Linked DNA regions of Astyanax mexicanus. The protein of the gene in region 1 interacts with the protein of each later gene in a pairwise test. Links are inferred from orthologs where the notes say so. Each region holds a gene or a part of one and is shown in the gene's direction. Other genes may lie near its edges.

Region 1 (8,526 bases):
CATTTTCCAGCAGGACTTGGCACACTGCCCACACTGACAAAAGTACCAATTGGTCTTATATATAGTAATATTCTAATTTTGTGAGACACTGATTTTTGGCATTCCTTTGGCTTTAATCCATAATAATCATTAACAATACGATAAATAAACATCTAAAATACATCACTCTATGTGTAATACATCTATATATGAGTTTCACATTTTGACCTGAATTACTGAAATAAAATAACTTTTCAATGATATTCAACATTTTTGTCGTCAACTGTGCACCACGCAGCTTGATTTAGGGGTGCGTCAGTGTGTCTTTGCTATCGTAAAAAAGTACAACTTGCACGGCTTGAAGCATGTAAAAGGCATATACTAATTCTCATTAAGAGCCAGGTGTGTTTTGATTGCTATTTCAAGGGAGCAGCTACCTGAACATGTCCAATGCTTCCCAGTAGATGAAACTGACCTGTTAAATCATTGATTATTGTGTAATACTGGCACCAATGGAATGTTTTTAGCCAATCACATTGCAGGGTCAGAACTAACCATGGAATAATGCATGTTAATCATTTAATATAGAACTCATTTACATAAATCAACCCTTTATTTCTCAATCAGAGAGGAAAGGGAAAGGTTATGAACAAATCACCAAAATTTGATCTATATTGTAGTATGTATGATATACAGTATGATTTATCCACACCTGTCAGCTGAGTTTGGTTCACAGCTCTTCGGCTAGCCCTTGTGTTGATGCGCACACCTGTTGTGGGTGTCTCAGCAGCTCTGTTTTTCTCCGGCTCCTCTGTAGCTTCATCCTCCTCTTCCTCCTCCTCCTCCTCCTCTGATTCACTAGCACCTCCCGCAGGCCACGAGATGTGCTGTATGAAGGAATGCTCAGCTTCACACTGCCAGAGAACAGAGGTGGACAGACCCAGCGTCGGCTCCACAGCTCGCAGTTCAGGCTCATGAGGACAGGTCTGGCAGTGCTCCTGGTACCAGCTCACTAAACTGTGCAGGCTGGTGACGGCCACCTTCTTTCCTACACAAGGAAACGAATGACAGAGTCAAAAAGAGAGTCAGAAGCCCTTTCTGGATGGGATTAGTTTCTCAGGGGGTCCTGGGATAATTTTCTCTTTTACTTGGGAGTCCTCTGTGATTTTATTCCTGTCCAGAACGAACATGTGTTTTTCTCAGACGTCCTCTGAAAAAAAATTACAGGCTGAATTATCTACTGTTTTTCGCTGAACTCTTTCTTGATCCGCCGGTAATTTTAGTCCCGTCCGGATCCACATGTCTGATTTAGTTTCCTCACGTTTAATAAAACAGCTATTTGTCCACTGCCGTGCACCATATTTACACTTTGGGCACACATTTCCACGGAGATACACGTAAAACACAACAGCAAGTGGAAATGGAGGAGCTACTGAACAAGATTTCATGTGACCCAGAAAGCCAAAAAAAAAAAAAAAGAAAACTCTCTCTGGTCCTCCAGTTTTTTCAATTGCATTCCGGATGCAAGAGTTTTATCACTGAGTAAAACTGTAAACTGAATGTAACTGCTGCCAAACTAAGGGTGGAACGAAAAACTAAAAAATGCTATATGTGAGGGAGATATAAAATTACTGAAAATAAGAAGGACCTTGTTTAACTACTCTAGCAGGCTCTGGAAACACACAGAGCTTTACTAAATCTACTGGTTAAGCTGGAACTTCTCACAATACATTTCACTGTTTATCTAGTGTGCTGATTTTACTAAAGTTTGGATCAAATAAATGAGAAAGGCACCTAACAAAGAGAGTTTTCAAAGTCTAAAAGTCTAACGGTTTCGGTCTAACAGTCTCGCTTTGGACTAATACACAAAAAAATATAGTGACCATGCATTTGAGTTTACTCACCTTTCTTCTGATTTTTGCACAGCTCTGGAATGTTGTTCTTCCTGTCAATCAGAAGAGAGGACAGGATGTTATAAAACCTATAAAATATTCTGCTATAAACCATAATCGTAATATCGGATATCAGAATCGGCCCAGAATTCCAACATCAGTGCATCTCAAGCAAATCTACAACCAGTTGGAATCAGCAAACTACGGATCCTCTAAGGTGAGGATGTAAAGGTGAGGAGGTAATGTAAAAAAAAAATAATAATGCATGGCCACAGCTTATTAAAGCACAGGAACGAGATACTAATGCCTGCCCACTATTATTAAAGGGTGGGAACGAGATCCTAATGCATGGCCACGACTTGTTGTGAGAATGAGATCCCAATGCACGGCTACGACTTATCAAGGCACAGGAACTAGATGTGTGGCCTCGACTTATTAAAGCAAAGGAACAAGATACTGATGTGTAGCAACAACTTTTTAAAGCATGAAAACGAGATACTAGTGCTTTGCCACAACTTTTTAAAGCGTAAGAATAAATCCCAATATGTTTCCACAACTTATTACACAGTGGGAACGAGATCCCAAAGAGTGGCCACGACTTATTAAAGCGTGGGAATAAGATCCTAATGTGTGGCCATGAATTACTAAAGCATAGGGACAAGAAACTAATGTGTTGTGACAACTTATGAAAACAAAATGTGGGAATAAAATACCTACACATGGCCACCACTTATTACAAGCACAAGAACAAGATCCTTATGCATGGGAACAAGATATTATTGCATGGCCATGACTTATAAAAGGTATGGGAATAAGATTTTTGTATGTTTTACATGATGTCATCTTAGGGGCTGCGTAGCAAACCACCTGTATTAGTTAGCTAGTTAAACCTCTCAATCCACTTAAGAGGTTTTATAGCACTTAACCCGTATTTAATGTTAGTAAGGGCTGATTTAAAAATATATGATATAAAGCAGATAAGTAAATATAAATATGTGGTATAGGCAGGTACAAACAGGTATAAACAAGCATAACACAGATATAAGCAGATATAAGCAGGTACAAGCAGATATACCCAGGTATAAACAAGCATAACACAGGTATAAACAGATAATAAAGAGGTACTGGTGGCCGTGCGCTGCGTGTCTCCGCTGGTACCGCTCTCCGTAGGCGGAGTTCAGCAGGATCAGGTACTCGGCGAGTCCGGCGTCGCTCAGGCTGCTCCGCCGCCGCAGGTCGCTCCAGATCCGGTGCGACTCTCCGAGGTAAACCCGCCGAACGTCGTACTTCTTCCGCGACTCGAGGCGCCTCTGGGCTCGGTCCGAGTCCGACAGCCGTGGCCGACCCCTGCAGCGCCGCAGCATAGCTTTAATCTGCTCCCCGGAGCCGCTGGAGCTCCCGGAGCCCAGGCTGTCCGCCTTACCCCCACACTGAGTCGCCATCTTTACCCAGCTGCAGCTGTTGTGTTTCTTCTTAAAGGGATTTATGAGCCAAATCTGCGCATGCGCGCTCTAAACGTCACATACTAAACTATATTTTACCCGTATTTTATTATTTTAATATCCACATTATGGTACAGATATTAACCATACTTTATTATTAAAATATCCACATTATTACACAGATATTAACCATATTATTATTATTATTATTATTATTATTATTATTATTATTATTATTATTATTACATTATATCTTACAAAAACCTCACATATTAAACTGTACACATTATTATACAGATATTAACCATACGTTTTATTATAAAATCCACATTATTAAACAGATATTATTATTATTATAAGTAGTAGTAGTAGTAGTAGTAGTAGTTGTAGTAGTATACAGATATTAATCTTATTTTATTATTATTTTATTATTTGATTACATATATCTCGCAAATACCTCACATATAAAATTATCCACGTTATTACAAAGAATTAATTACAGATATTAATAAGATAATTAAATGATTAGTTGGATTGCTTAAATGCGAAAAAGATGCTCAAATAACAAATTATTGTTAGTTTGTTTTATTTAGGTTTATTATTATTATTTTTGTTGGACATACGAATTATTAACTTGAAACTTGAAAAAAACACCAGCAACATAAAACAAACAAACAAAAAAAGCAAGAAACAAGAGTTAAAAGCAAAATCAATAGTACAGACTAAAATTAAAACCAGAAAAATTAATAACTTATCAAATAAAGACTAATAATAATTAGATTTAAATTAATTAAATGGCAAAATGCACAGTGAAAAAAATGACTAAAGTAAGATGAATACAGAGCCCCTAAGATGACATAACATTTAAAAAATATATAAATTGGGGCCACATGCCTTACTAAGTCATGGCCACGCGTTATTATTATTATTATTATTTTTACATGACATTACCTTAGGGGCTCAGTAGATAAAAATAAAAATAAGTTCGAAAATTAAAGATAAATTAATGATTATACACTGATAAATGTTTTAGTACCACAGACATTATTTTTTAAGGATTTTAGCTGACATTAGCCACAATGCTAGTGTCTTTATCGCCTAAACCCGTTTACTGTAGAAAAATGAAAACAGACAGGTAACCTTTATTTGCGTTTTTATCAAAATATTTTTATCTACTTTGCTTAAATTAAAGGAATATTCTGGATAAATTGTCAATTAATATTTTTAATTTGTGTTTTTAGCCTCTTTGCTCTATTGACTCCCATTCATTAAGGGCTTACTAGCGGACTCTCCCTATCGGTTTACATTGGAAACAGGGGAAATACTGTGTAAAGTGGGTAGGCTCTCCCAGAGCCATATACAGGCGTATTTATTTGACAGACAGGTGGATTGTCCAATCAGAGCAGAAAAAAGCTTTTGCTGGAATATCAACTGGCCAATCGTAGATCAGAGTGAGAGGGGGTGGGCGTTGAGATGGGCGCGGGAAAAGCAAGTGATGTAGTTTTTAGTTAGCACTGAATGCTAAAAGTCAGTCAGTCAGTTTAGTTTATCTGTTATAGCTAGTTTTCTTGTTTAATTCACCAGACTCCAATCGCTGGAAACACGCTTTTAAAGAATTCAGAAGATGAAGATAGCTGTGTTTTATTGGTTGTGAGGATATTTAGAGCAGATATGGTGGATATTCTGGGGCTGGTGTTGAGGCAGTTCAGCTCCGGCAGTATCACCGGGGTGTGTACCCAGCCGGGTACCGGGCTGTGCGCCCCGGAGAGCGGCGCACTCGTGACTGGAGACCGAGGCTTTAGTAGGCCGCTACTGTTACTCTCAGCTCTGACTGCAGCTTCAGAATTAGCAGTTAAAGTGCTTTATTTCACTCCGAGTCAGATTCAGAGCCTTCCTATATCGTTTCAGGGTGCCAGGAGAGCTGAATGTCTTAAGGTAACACTAATTACTGTATAAAACACGTTTGGAAACACCTTAAATGTCAAGAGTTAATTAACCTACTTGAATTTCCTTCCCTTGAATTTAAGTAATGTCCTAATCCATATTATAGCAAGGACTACCCAGCTAAATACAGATGGGAAAAAACATACATCATCTAAAATGTTATAATGAACTGACCTTCACAAGGATTGCCCCAGAAAAGGAGGAGCATAATTTAGTTACCTCTGTTACACAGGATAAGTTCATCAGTGTCAGAAACCCCAAGTTAAAAAGCACCCCAGATAAGAGAGTATTTTGGTTTGTTTAACACTGTTAACTTACTACATTGTCTAGATGACTTCAAAAGACATTGAATGAGAAGGTGTGTCCAAAGTTTTGACTGGCACTGTTCAAGTGAAAACTCATATTATTAATAATTATTATTTACTGTAAATGTCCTGTTTTACACTGCAAGACCAATGCAGTACAGCCTATAATTTTAGAACACAAGTCACCCATCCCAAATTATCATATCATGGTACTACTTTTTTGCTGATTTTTGCAAAAGAAAAAATCACACTGTTCCCATTTCCACATATATATATTTACTAGATACAGATTATATCTGTCCAGTATAATTTATTTTACTTTAATCCTGGATATATAGAGATATTTGGAGTGTACTATTAGTATCATGACATTCTGGATCAATAACTGATAAAAATCTTGGATTTTTTTTAAATATCTCAGTTAGGGGTGTGCCATATTATATTGTATGCAATAATAAAACTAGATTTTATTTTTGTTGCAGTAGTGTATTTTAGAAATAATTTCTTTAATTCAGTGTTTTGTCATATCACCATATGACATGAAATATCGTGATATTTTTTTAGGGCCATACCTGTAATTTAAACCTTCTGAACTTCTGTAAAAGGGGTGAATTACAGCAGAATGTTGGGGCCAATATCCTGTTGTGTTTTGTTTATATTCAGTATTTAATGTAAAATAAAAAATATGTATGTTAATTTAATTTAATATTATTTATTTAAATAATAAATAAATTTATTATATTTTCTTTTTCTTTTTGCTATCTCTCTTTGTAGAAAATCAGGTTTGTATACCCCAAGACCCTGGAGGAGCTTCTGGAGGACGTGGCCTCTCTTCACGAGCTGGTGCCTCAGTCTGGATCTCTCCCTTCTCTGCTCATCGTGGACGGTTTAGAGCAGTATGTTTGTGGTCCAGCTGCACAGGACAGAACCCCACAGGAGGCTCAGAGTGCAGCGGCTCATGTGGTGGCTCTCCTGCACGACACGGCAGCTTTCCTCACCCAGAAACTGGGAGCCAGGGCGGAGAACCAGGACCAGAACCAGAACCAAACCCAGGACCAGGTCCAGAGCCAGTGCAGGGTCATCGTCTCCTTTCAGCCTGAATGGGAAGGACAGGGTGGGTGTCCTGCTTTAGTTTCAGACCCCATTCTTTCTGTTTTGGAGCGATACCTGCAGGTGAGATGCACTACAGAAAAGGTGAGGAGGGGGGAGGAGCCAAACGAGTGGCTGTTTTGTCTCACAGGGCCTGGACTGCAAGCTGATGGGGATGGAAAATCAGAGGAACGGCTTCAGTGGCGTGTAGTTCTGAAGTCTAATGGTACACTGGATTTCTGCCCAATCAGTCGTGTGAAAGAGGACACATTAGAAACCCTGCAAAACCCTGTGGAAGTAAAAGATGACTAGACTAAGGGTGGGACAAAATATCGATATGGTTTCTGCTTCAATACTCCACATGGTGGTGCTATAATCAAATGAATAGGGTAAATAGAAGAATATTGGTTATGAAATTCTTTAAAAACTGACACCAGTAAATCCATATTTTATCCTCTTCAGTAACACAGATGCTGAGATGTATCGTAGAGAATTGTTTTGTGATATATCGAGTGTCGCAGATTCACAGTATTGCGATATTATGCATTAGGGCGAGAGCCCTTGTGTTTATATACTATTTCTTAACGATACATTGTTGTTGTGGACACAGCTCTTTGAACCGTAAACAAAAAACCCAACTCACTTCTCGCTTTATGAATTGTTCACTCTTTATATTTGTGCTTGTTTGCATTACAGTCCAATAAAAAAATAAATACAGTCTGTTAAAAAACACAACTCCTTGCCAAATACAGGAAAGAAACTGCAGACAATATTTCAAATTTTAATAGAATAATGGATTACAGATTTACAAAGTATAAAAAGAAAATTACACAGAAAATATATGTTATATATGGTTTTAGCATTAAACAGACACATTTTATAGTTGACCCCAGGCACTTGCTTTTACATCCCCACTACAAAAGCGTTTAAACGGATGTTTGTAAAATTATTTAGTGTTTGCATCCTAGTGTTTCTTCATCTTAATTGGCATTAACATGCAAACTGTTCATGAAATATTTATTTTTACAGAGATTTTATGTTTGCCTACATTGAAGAATTTCATGCACAGAATTTCCATGGATGATATATTGTCCGAGTAATTATTACAATAAAAAATATTAATGTTATTTTAAATCAATTGTGATGATAAAACACCTTTTAAAACATGAACTGGAAGATTTATTATTATACTAAACATCATACTGGAATGAATTCATTTTAGCATGCTGTCCTTGCTAAGAAAAATGTATAACATTTATGTATAATATTGTGGGCAATATGTAAGCCGATCAGGTTATTATTGTGACAGGCCTGTTTCCTCCACTACAATTAATGAAACATATCAGTTCTAATCTTTATCCAAACCCACTTCAGCCACATCTTTGGGCTCAATAACTAGTTTGTGTATCTTTTTACTCACTGTAATTGTTATAATATATTAAGACCTGGACATGCACTGTTAAATCCCTTAATCACTGGTTTGATTTGAAGATCTGAAGCAAACAGCAACCAAACAAAACATGATAATAATAAAGAGGTGACAATGTTTTAACGTGAATAAGAGTTTCCACACTTAAAAACAAATATACTGATACCTTTAAGAATAAAGAGGAACATTTACATTTTTCTTTATATAAGAAAGTGGCTTCCTTTAATAAAAAATACTCAAATTTATTAAAACACATTAAAAGTTGATAAAATTGGCACACAAACCAACTGTTATTTTCTGATACAAAAAATATTTTTTATTTACAGAATATTAAAAAAAAGGAAAGAAGACGATTAAACTCTAAATGTTTTTGTCTTTTTTTTTTTTTGTAAAATTATATTTACACTGACATGCCAAATCTCATGGGATAGTCCCCTAAGCAAACA
Region 2 (8,197 bases), on another chromosome or scaffold:
AATAATTGATATTATCTATGATCTTTTCATGAGGTTGATGTTAAAAGATGAGTCTGTTTATATGCACCTAATAATCCAATAACTGTAGAAAACCCGATTGTCAGCCTTGAATGAACCTATTTAAGAAATCAGAGTATCCTGTTTTCTTGACCACTGGAGCAGTCAAATAGGTGTAAAAGAGGTGATTATATTCAGATTATTGAGTGCATCTAATTATTTATTTATTTATTTTTTAAATAAATTTAAATTAATGTATACATATTCATTGCCCATAAAAGGTTTGGACACACCTCTTCTCATTCATTTTTTTTCTTTTTATGATTTTAATTTTGTAAATTTAATATTAAAGATGTAATACATAAAAAGTATTAGTATCAGGACATTAACCTCTAAAGCAGAGTGTGTGATATCAGATATGAATCTATTCATATTAATATTACACGATTACTTTATTGTATAATTTAATTTACCTTTTAAACAGTGTAACCCTCCTGTTATGTTCAAAATACAAATATGCAGGAAAATTATTGTTTTTATTTTTTCTGGAGCGTATAAACATTTCTGCTGGACTTAATTAGCATTTATTAATATAAACAAATATTTGTATTTTACACACACACACACACACACACACACACACACACACACACACACACACAGATACAATACACGTGTCATATTTAGCATTAAACAGAAGATACAAAAGATACAAATATAACATTTCAACCTAATTATCAAACACATAACACGCAAACAGACACGCGTTTGGGGGGGGGGGGAGAGGAGAGAGAGACAGGTGCAGAACGAGGTCTTGTAGAGGTCAGGTCCTTAGCGGCGCCCTGCCACACACACACACAGGCACGCGCCGTCTGTCTGAACTGAAACGTATCACACAACCTGTTAACAACACACCGCCTACACCTGCAATACTCACCTACCCTGCTCACGTTCAGGGTTTTTATTTATTTATGAATAACAAGTTTACATCCTCTACATAGAACACAGTTTTGTTACATTTCATTTATGTTGTTTATTTGTTCTTTTTAATGCAATGTGTGCAAAAACAAAGTAACACATAGGAGTGTTAGAAAATATTGATATAAGGAAGTATCACAATATTTTGCACGCTTTGCAATAGTGTATCGATTTTTAAAAACCCGGTGTAGATCGCAGTTTTGTACTCTCATTAGATCCCACTGTTCTGATAAAAAGTAAAAAAAAATTACTCTATGCTAGTGATTTAAACAACTGCAATATATCACTTTGCTTACAGTATGAGAATATACAGCTCTGGAATAAATAAGAGACCACTTAAAAATTAAGATTTTTTTTTTTTTTTTTTTTGTTATTTTACCAAATTGAAAACCTCTGGAATATAATTATGAGGATAATGGATGATCACAAGCCATAAAAACCAAGCTGAACTGCTTGAATTTTTGCACCAGGAGTGGCATAAAGTTATATAAAAGCAGTGTGCAAGACTGGAGGAGAACATGCCAAGATGCATGAAAACTGTGATTAAAAACCAGGGTTATTCCACCAAATATTGATTTCTGAACTCTTAAAACTTTATGAATATGAACTTGTTTTCTTTGCATTATTTGAGGTCTTTTTTGTTATTTCAGCCATTTCTCATTTTCTGCAAATAAATGCACACCCATTTATCTATTCACTCTCACACACCTGTTCAGAGACATTTTATTAAAAGACCACTATGCATTAAAGTGGAAGCACAGCTCAAACAACCCCCCACCCCAGACTAATTAAGACACGCGACCTCTTCACGCGCGCCTATAGTGAAAGTTTCGAGACTGCAGCCCCGGGGACGAGGGGTCAGAGCCATCAATCAACATCCCCTAAACACTTAAGGCCTCCTATAAAAGCCCACCCCACCTCTGCTCCCCACAACTCATCACAATCATTCATACACACACACACACACACTCCTCCACACGACCCCCTTCATCCATACATCCATCACCATGCAGAAGGACCTGAGCACCCCCACCAGCCGCTTCTTCATATGGCGGGACTACCTAAATCTGAGGGACACCCTGGAGCGCGTGCTCCAGCAGTCCAGGCTCGAGGATGTGGGACCCCAGCCCCCCACTCCCATATCCCCGACCACTTCCATCTTACTGCCCGGGACAGAGCGAGAAGCCGGGGGCCAGCAGGACCAGGGAGAGGCGCTGTCTCAGAGCAGCGGAGGAGCGGAGAGTGGAGAAGAATGTAAGTAATAAATAAATATAAAAAACCTAATAACTTAACAACTGATGTATGAAATAAAATGAACAAAAGTAACAATGCTTTTAAATATGTATTATTTAGTCCTACGTTTAAAAATGTATCTATTTTTTTACGTTTTTGTAATGCTTCATTTTTCTAAAGCTATTTTACAGTATTTTATTATATTGTTTTGTATAAATATATAATAAAACAAATAACAAATTCTAAAGAATCTAAACTGAATAAAAAACTTTTCAGATTAGCCAAAACAAGTTGTGTAGATCTAAATTCAGTTTATATACATAATAAAAATCTGCTCTTTCCGTTTCTTCATAGTGTTTTATGCTCTAAAATAAATATTTATTATTTAATCATAAATTATGAGTTTGAAAATTGATGTATTTCTTTACATTTGTATAATGTTTTATTTTTCTAAACCTATTTTCACAGTATTTTATTATACTGTTTTATATAAATATATAATAAAACAAATAAAATATCTCTTCAGATTAGCCAAAAAGTTTTGTGTCTAAATTCAGTTTATAAACATAATAAAAAAAACAACTCTTTCCGTTTCTTCAGTGTTTTATGCACTGAAATAAATATTTATTATTTAATCATAAGTCATACGTTTGAAAATGTATCTTTTGTTTTATTTATTTATTTTTAATAATGCTTTATTTTTCTAAAGCTATTTTTACTGTATTTTATTATACTGTTTCATACGTATAGTAAAATAAATAATAAACTGAGAATGAAAACTAATTAAAATAACTCTTCAGATTAGCCAAAACAAGTTCTAGGTCTAAGTCTAAATCCAGTTTATATACATAATAAAAAGCTGCTCTTTCCGTTTCTTCACAGTGTTTTATGCACCGGTCCGAACCGAGACGCCCCCTAGTGTCCGCGAGGGCTCCTGCGCCTTCTGCCGGCGGAACGGTGAGAGCACCGAGGTGTACCGGAGCCACCGGCTGCGCAGGCGGGACGGCAGGGTGATGTGCCCCGTGCTGCGGAGCTACATGTGCCCGCTGTGCGGAGCCACCGGAGACACCGCGCACACCCGCCTCTACTGCCCCAACAGGAGCGACACAGAGCCGCGCCGCAGCGCCGCCCACAGGCGGGACACCCGCGCTCCGTAAAACACAGAGAAAAGACAGTGAGAGAAAAAGCGCGTGACTGAATCACTACTGCACACGAGTCTCAAACACCACCATAAGTGCAATGGAGGTTTTTCCCTAAAGCTAAAGTTCAGCTCTGTGGAGTTCATGTGCAGGTTTTAAACAGTGTGTTCTTCTCCACAGAGCTTCTGTACAGTTTATATAAAGCCTTATACAAAGCCCCAAGAAACATGCGCGGCTGCACGCTGTTCTGAAGAGTTTTATACAGGAAATTTTTTTTCATGTTTTTTCTGTTGTTTGCTGTTTTGTACAAAATAAAGAAAAGTTTTCCTAATGCAAAACATCTCGCTCTCTGTCAGTCTAAACTGAGAATTCAGGATGTCAATAACTGTTTATTGCTTTAACTATATCAAAAAACAGTGAACAAAAGTAGAGTATAATAATAACTAAAAACATAGACGTAGCTAAATAAGTTAAGTATGATAGTCTACCTTATTATTAAAGCTAATGCAATAACCACAAACTAAATTAAAATAATGTTTGATACACCTAATTAAAATAATTAAAGTTACAACCCAGTTAGTTTTTTCCTCCTCTCCTGTAATAAATAGCCACACTTCTTATTGCCTCTGTATTTAGCTACAGATAGCACTTCTCCACTAGATGGAGCCACTGACTCATATTTAATTCATAAAATAAAACCTTTATTTTTTATACTTCAAAATATGATTAGACTAGATATAAACGTTAAGCTGTGCTTTTGCTTTTCTCTCTTCTCTCGCTTTGATTTATTGTACATTGCATGCATTAATAAAAACTTAAATTATATAAAAGTGTGCAATATTATAGAGTAAAATCTACTTAGCAAACAGAGATAGTTATCACAGTGGTGTCTACTTCCTTATCTTCTTCATAAGATTACATTAAAAAAAAAATTCTAAACATTTAAACAGTATGGTTTAAATACTGGTGATGGCTAATTGGCTTTGCAGCTCAGTGCTCATGTTGGATGGCGCTCCATCACTGCAGAGAAAGCGCTGGACTGTGGAGCAGTGGAGATTTATACCTTTCTGTTCTGCGTGTGGAATAAGGCCTATTATAGTTTATATAATGAAGTGAAAAAAAATACAGCGTAAAAAAACAGCGTAAAAAACTACAAAGCCCACAATTCCGTGTGATTTCCGTTTCCTGGAGACGGCGATGTGTCCGGCGTGGGATAATCGAAGGGTAACCAGTGCAGTGTTTTGTACAGGAGAGTCGGGGGATGTTTACTGAGAGTGGAGTTGAGAGGAGTTGAGAGGAGGTCTGTGGGATGTATTTTTGAAATACTTTCTGTAATTTACAGGAGAAACAGCTGTAGTCGCTGATATTTCGGTTAGCTAACAGCTAGTTAACGTTACTGTCACGAACAGTCTAATTTCAGTAATTAGGCAGTCCTAATTACTGAAATTAGACTGTTCATTACAGTAACGTAAACTATCTGTTCAAACAGCTTTTCTCCCAGCAGTAGCACTGTTAACACTTACTAAATATTGACACACTCTAACCGAAGTAACAGTAGTTGTCAAAAATGATAAAAGTCGTGTCAGCAGACTCCTACAGTACTGTTAAAAAAGAAGTAGTTAGTTAACTTAAATGTGAGTACGAATAATATAGGATAAGTTCTACTTCAATGACCTAATCTCATCTCTAACTACATGGTATTTGGTATATGGTATATGGTATATGGTATAATCACTGCTGTTTAATGTCTCACAAATATACTTAGAGTAGATGCCGTGTATTAGTTCAGTTATTAATTTCACATCTGGTTATTATAGCATGGTTCGGCTGCAGCAGTCAAATTCCCGGTTGGCTGCTCTGTGTGTGGGCCGTTGAAAAGAGCTAAATATGCACTGCCTGGCCAAAAAGTGGATTTAAGTAAGTAAATGTGGGGTTGATGCTGCAGTTGGTCAGGTTTAGGTTCAGCAGCAGTATGTGCTGAAAGAATGAGGTCAGCTGACTACCTGAATATACTGAATATAGACCAGGTTATTCAATCAATGGATCAATAGAGTCCAGATCTTAACCTTATTGATAATCTTTGGGATGTGCTGTAGAAGGCTTTGTGCAGTGGTCAGACTCTACCATCATCAATGCTGCAAGATCTTGGTGAAAAATTTATGCAACACTAGATTGAAATAAATCTTGTAAGATTGCAGAAGCTTATTGAAACAATGCACAGTGAATGTGTGCTGCAATCAAAGCTAAAGGCGGTTTAACTAAATATTAGTGTGTGTCACTTATTTTTTTTGGTGGAAACTTTTTTTGGCCAGGCAGACCTGATTGAAGTATCCTAATATTGCATTGTGTGTTTGTCCAAAATACTCGCAGTCAAGGGCGTAGGAGCGGGCTTGATATGGGGGGGGGGGGACACATTTGCCAATATGAACCCAAGCTTTTATAAACGTCAGGATATGTGGTCTTACTGTGAAATACAAATGAACAGAAGTCACGTTACAGCAGTGTTTCTCAACCCAGTTCTTATATATTCTACTGCATATTAAAACTGTTCTGCATATTCTAGAGCTTCCTCTGGTGGATATACATGATTAATTTAGGCTCCATAGGGGGCTAAAGGTTTTTAACAGGTAAACTCAGTAAATGACTGTTTATTAGCTGATCAGGTGGAAAACACTAGTTTAGGGCAGTGATCGGGGTTAAGTAACTGCTTTAAACTACCAACTTAAAGTACTGTACGAAATTCTGGCGATCATCTACATCCAGCTTCTAGATAACTAGTTAGTTAAATCAATTTTCGTTCATTATAGCTCACAGTAAGTCCTGTAATCCTAAATGAATAAACAGTTTGAAAATTAAAGTGATTAGCTGATCAGGTACAGGGAAACATTACATATATATTTTATTTTTTCCTTTAACCCTGACTCCCAATCTAGCTAATTCCAAAGATAAGCTTACACACTAACACAGCTGCAGTGTATTAATCACAGTGGGTTTAAACTGTGTGCTGATTCAGAGACGTGTATTTTTAACCAGCTATCAGAAACATATCATCACAGTTGAAGTGGTTAGCCTATCGTTACCTTTCTTTTAGAAAAATCTCCGTATATCCATATCTGTTTTAAAATCAGCTGAAGCTGCTGCGTCCCGATCCCGCTGCTAAATCTCACAGCGAGGGGGCGGGGCTTCCCCAACAGCAAACTGCCTCTGCTCCGCGCGCCGCAAAACCAGCAAGCTGATTGGCTGTTTCTACTGAGAGGCGTGACTTAATACCTGAACCGGCTCCGTGATCGGTCCGGTCTGTCTCCTCATTAATAGTACAGCTGACCTGAGCGAACTGATATAATTTTTTTGGGGGGACAAATCCACCTGTTTCTAATATTGCTAGTATTCCTACGCCTATGCTCGCAGTGCATAAACATTAGCTACTCACAGACATGCTGCCTTTCCTAGCTAATAACATAGCAAAAAAAAGTCCAGGGCCTTGCAGTATGATACACATCCTGATACAGGGTTAGGAGTCACAATGCTGTAAGTATATTACAGTTTTTAATATCAATGTTATAAATATGTTGTGGTATATAAACACATCATTACTTGCAATATATTGAAGTTTTAAACAGTCTTACTTTTATTCATTTGGTACAGTAGGATGTGAAGACAGATAACAGCACCGCAATCTAGTGGTTGGGGATTAAATATGGCACACAATTACCCACTGTCTGCCATCAATCTATGCATGTAAAGTATGAATTAAATACCAGTGCTATGTTTTGAGAATTAATGAAGCATTGCAAAACCTAATATTGTGATAACTGCATCAATGATTCAATGATTTCTAACGTCACTATAGCAACATTTTATTTATTTGTGGGCCACATTGCAATATTATGTTGTACAAAGACCATTATGAGTATTATCAGCATTCCTTTTTTCCTTTTTTGTCATTTTTCTTTTTTCATCAGAATTTGAGAAGAATGGAAATGACAAAAGAATAGACTTCAAATGACTTAACATCATTTTACATAAAAAAAGGTTTTCTCTTCATCAATTCACATAAAACTTGAGTAATAGAGTTACAGTAGGCAATTAACGAGGTGTCAAATTGAGTAAAACATTTAAAACTGTTTACTGCTACATTTGAAAAAGCTGCTTTTCTCAGTTGATTCATTTACACAATAAATATGCTCAACTTGGATTGGTGTACAGTTATAGAATAAGACTAAAAGATCATATTCTATAATAATCCTTTATGTCTCTGAAGGATCTACAATGGCTTTGTGTTTGACTGCGGTTGCTGAGCAGCTTCTGAAGGATGTACAGAGGGCATACTCGGAGAAATCCCAGAGTAAGTAACAGTAGGTTAGAAATGCTGCAGCATTTTATGGGGTGATTTGGAATTATTTTTTATCTCTGATTTGATCTTTAATTATGGTACTTATAAAGGCAAAAATACAGTATCAGCAGAATCAAAACTGTTTAGGATTACTTTACAACTGAATAGAGTTTAACAGAATATTGTGAGAGCAGTTCACACAGTAATAGATGCTATCATATCTCATAGCATTATATCTCCAATAAAATAAAAAAACGAAATAAAATTGAAACTATCTTTAGATACCAAGCGTATTTTGTATTGACTGAATACAAGTGGGACTGGACAAAAATGGGCCAGATTGATTTTTTTTGTATTAAGCTTTAAATAACTAGATTTCAGCATATTTATTATGGCACTTTGCAAATGTGTCCTATTTAGAATGACTTTCTGAACTTTCTTTTATGATTTCTGGAGCCAGTCTGCACACTCATACCTTTTACGCTAAAGTATATTTGACTTTACTACGTTTTACTAC

The links.
Region 2: the proteins of swsap1 (region 1) and zswim7 interact in binary tests that used the Homo sapiens proteins (3 or more experiments, as listed by UniProt). The link is inferred for Astyanax mexicanus from reciprocal best matches to the Homo sapiens genes SWSAP1 and ZSWIM7.

Annotation. Positions count from the first base shown.
Region 1 is NC_064426.1:39,072,990-39,081,515, reverse strand, and holds swsap1 (ATPase SWSAP1), read left to right. Parts: upstream 1-4,770; 5' UTR 4,771-4,984; coding exon 4,985-5,248; intron 5,249-6,336; coding exon 6,337-6,963; 3' UTR 6,964-7,368; downstream 7,369-8,526. Other genes in the region: znf653 (zinc finger protein 653), read right to left, coding at 692-1,027, 1,884-1,924, 2,997-3,313. UniProt on the Homo sapiens protein: ATPase which is preferentially stimulated by single-stranded DNA and is involved in homologous recombination repair (HRR). Has a DNA-binding activity which is independent of its ATPase activity.
Region 2 is NC_064408.1:30,315,765-30,323,961, forward strand, and holds the start of zswim7 (zinc finger SWIM domain-containing protein 7), read left to right. Parts: upstream 1-4,505; 5' UTR 4,506-4,647; intron 4,648-7,606; exon of another isoform or gene 7,607-7,608; 5' UTR 7,609-7,616; coding exon 7,617-7,692; intron 7,693-8,197. Other genes in the region: nanos2 (nanos homolog 1), read left to right, coding at 1,983-2,229, 3,091-3,365. UniProt on the Homo sapiens protein: Involved in early stages of the homologous recombination repair (HRR) pathway of double-stranded DNA breaks arising during DNA replication or induced by DNA-damaging agents. Required for meiotic progression, hence for fertility.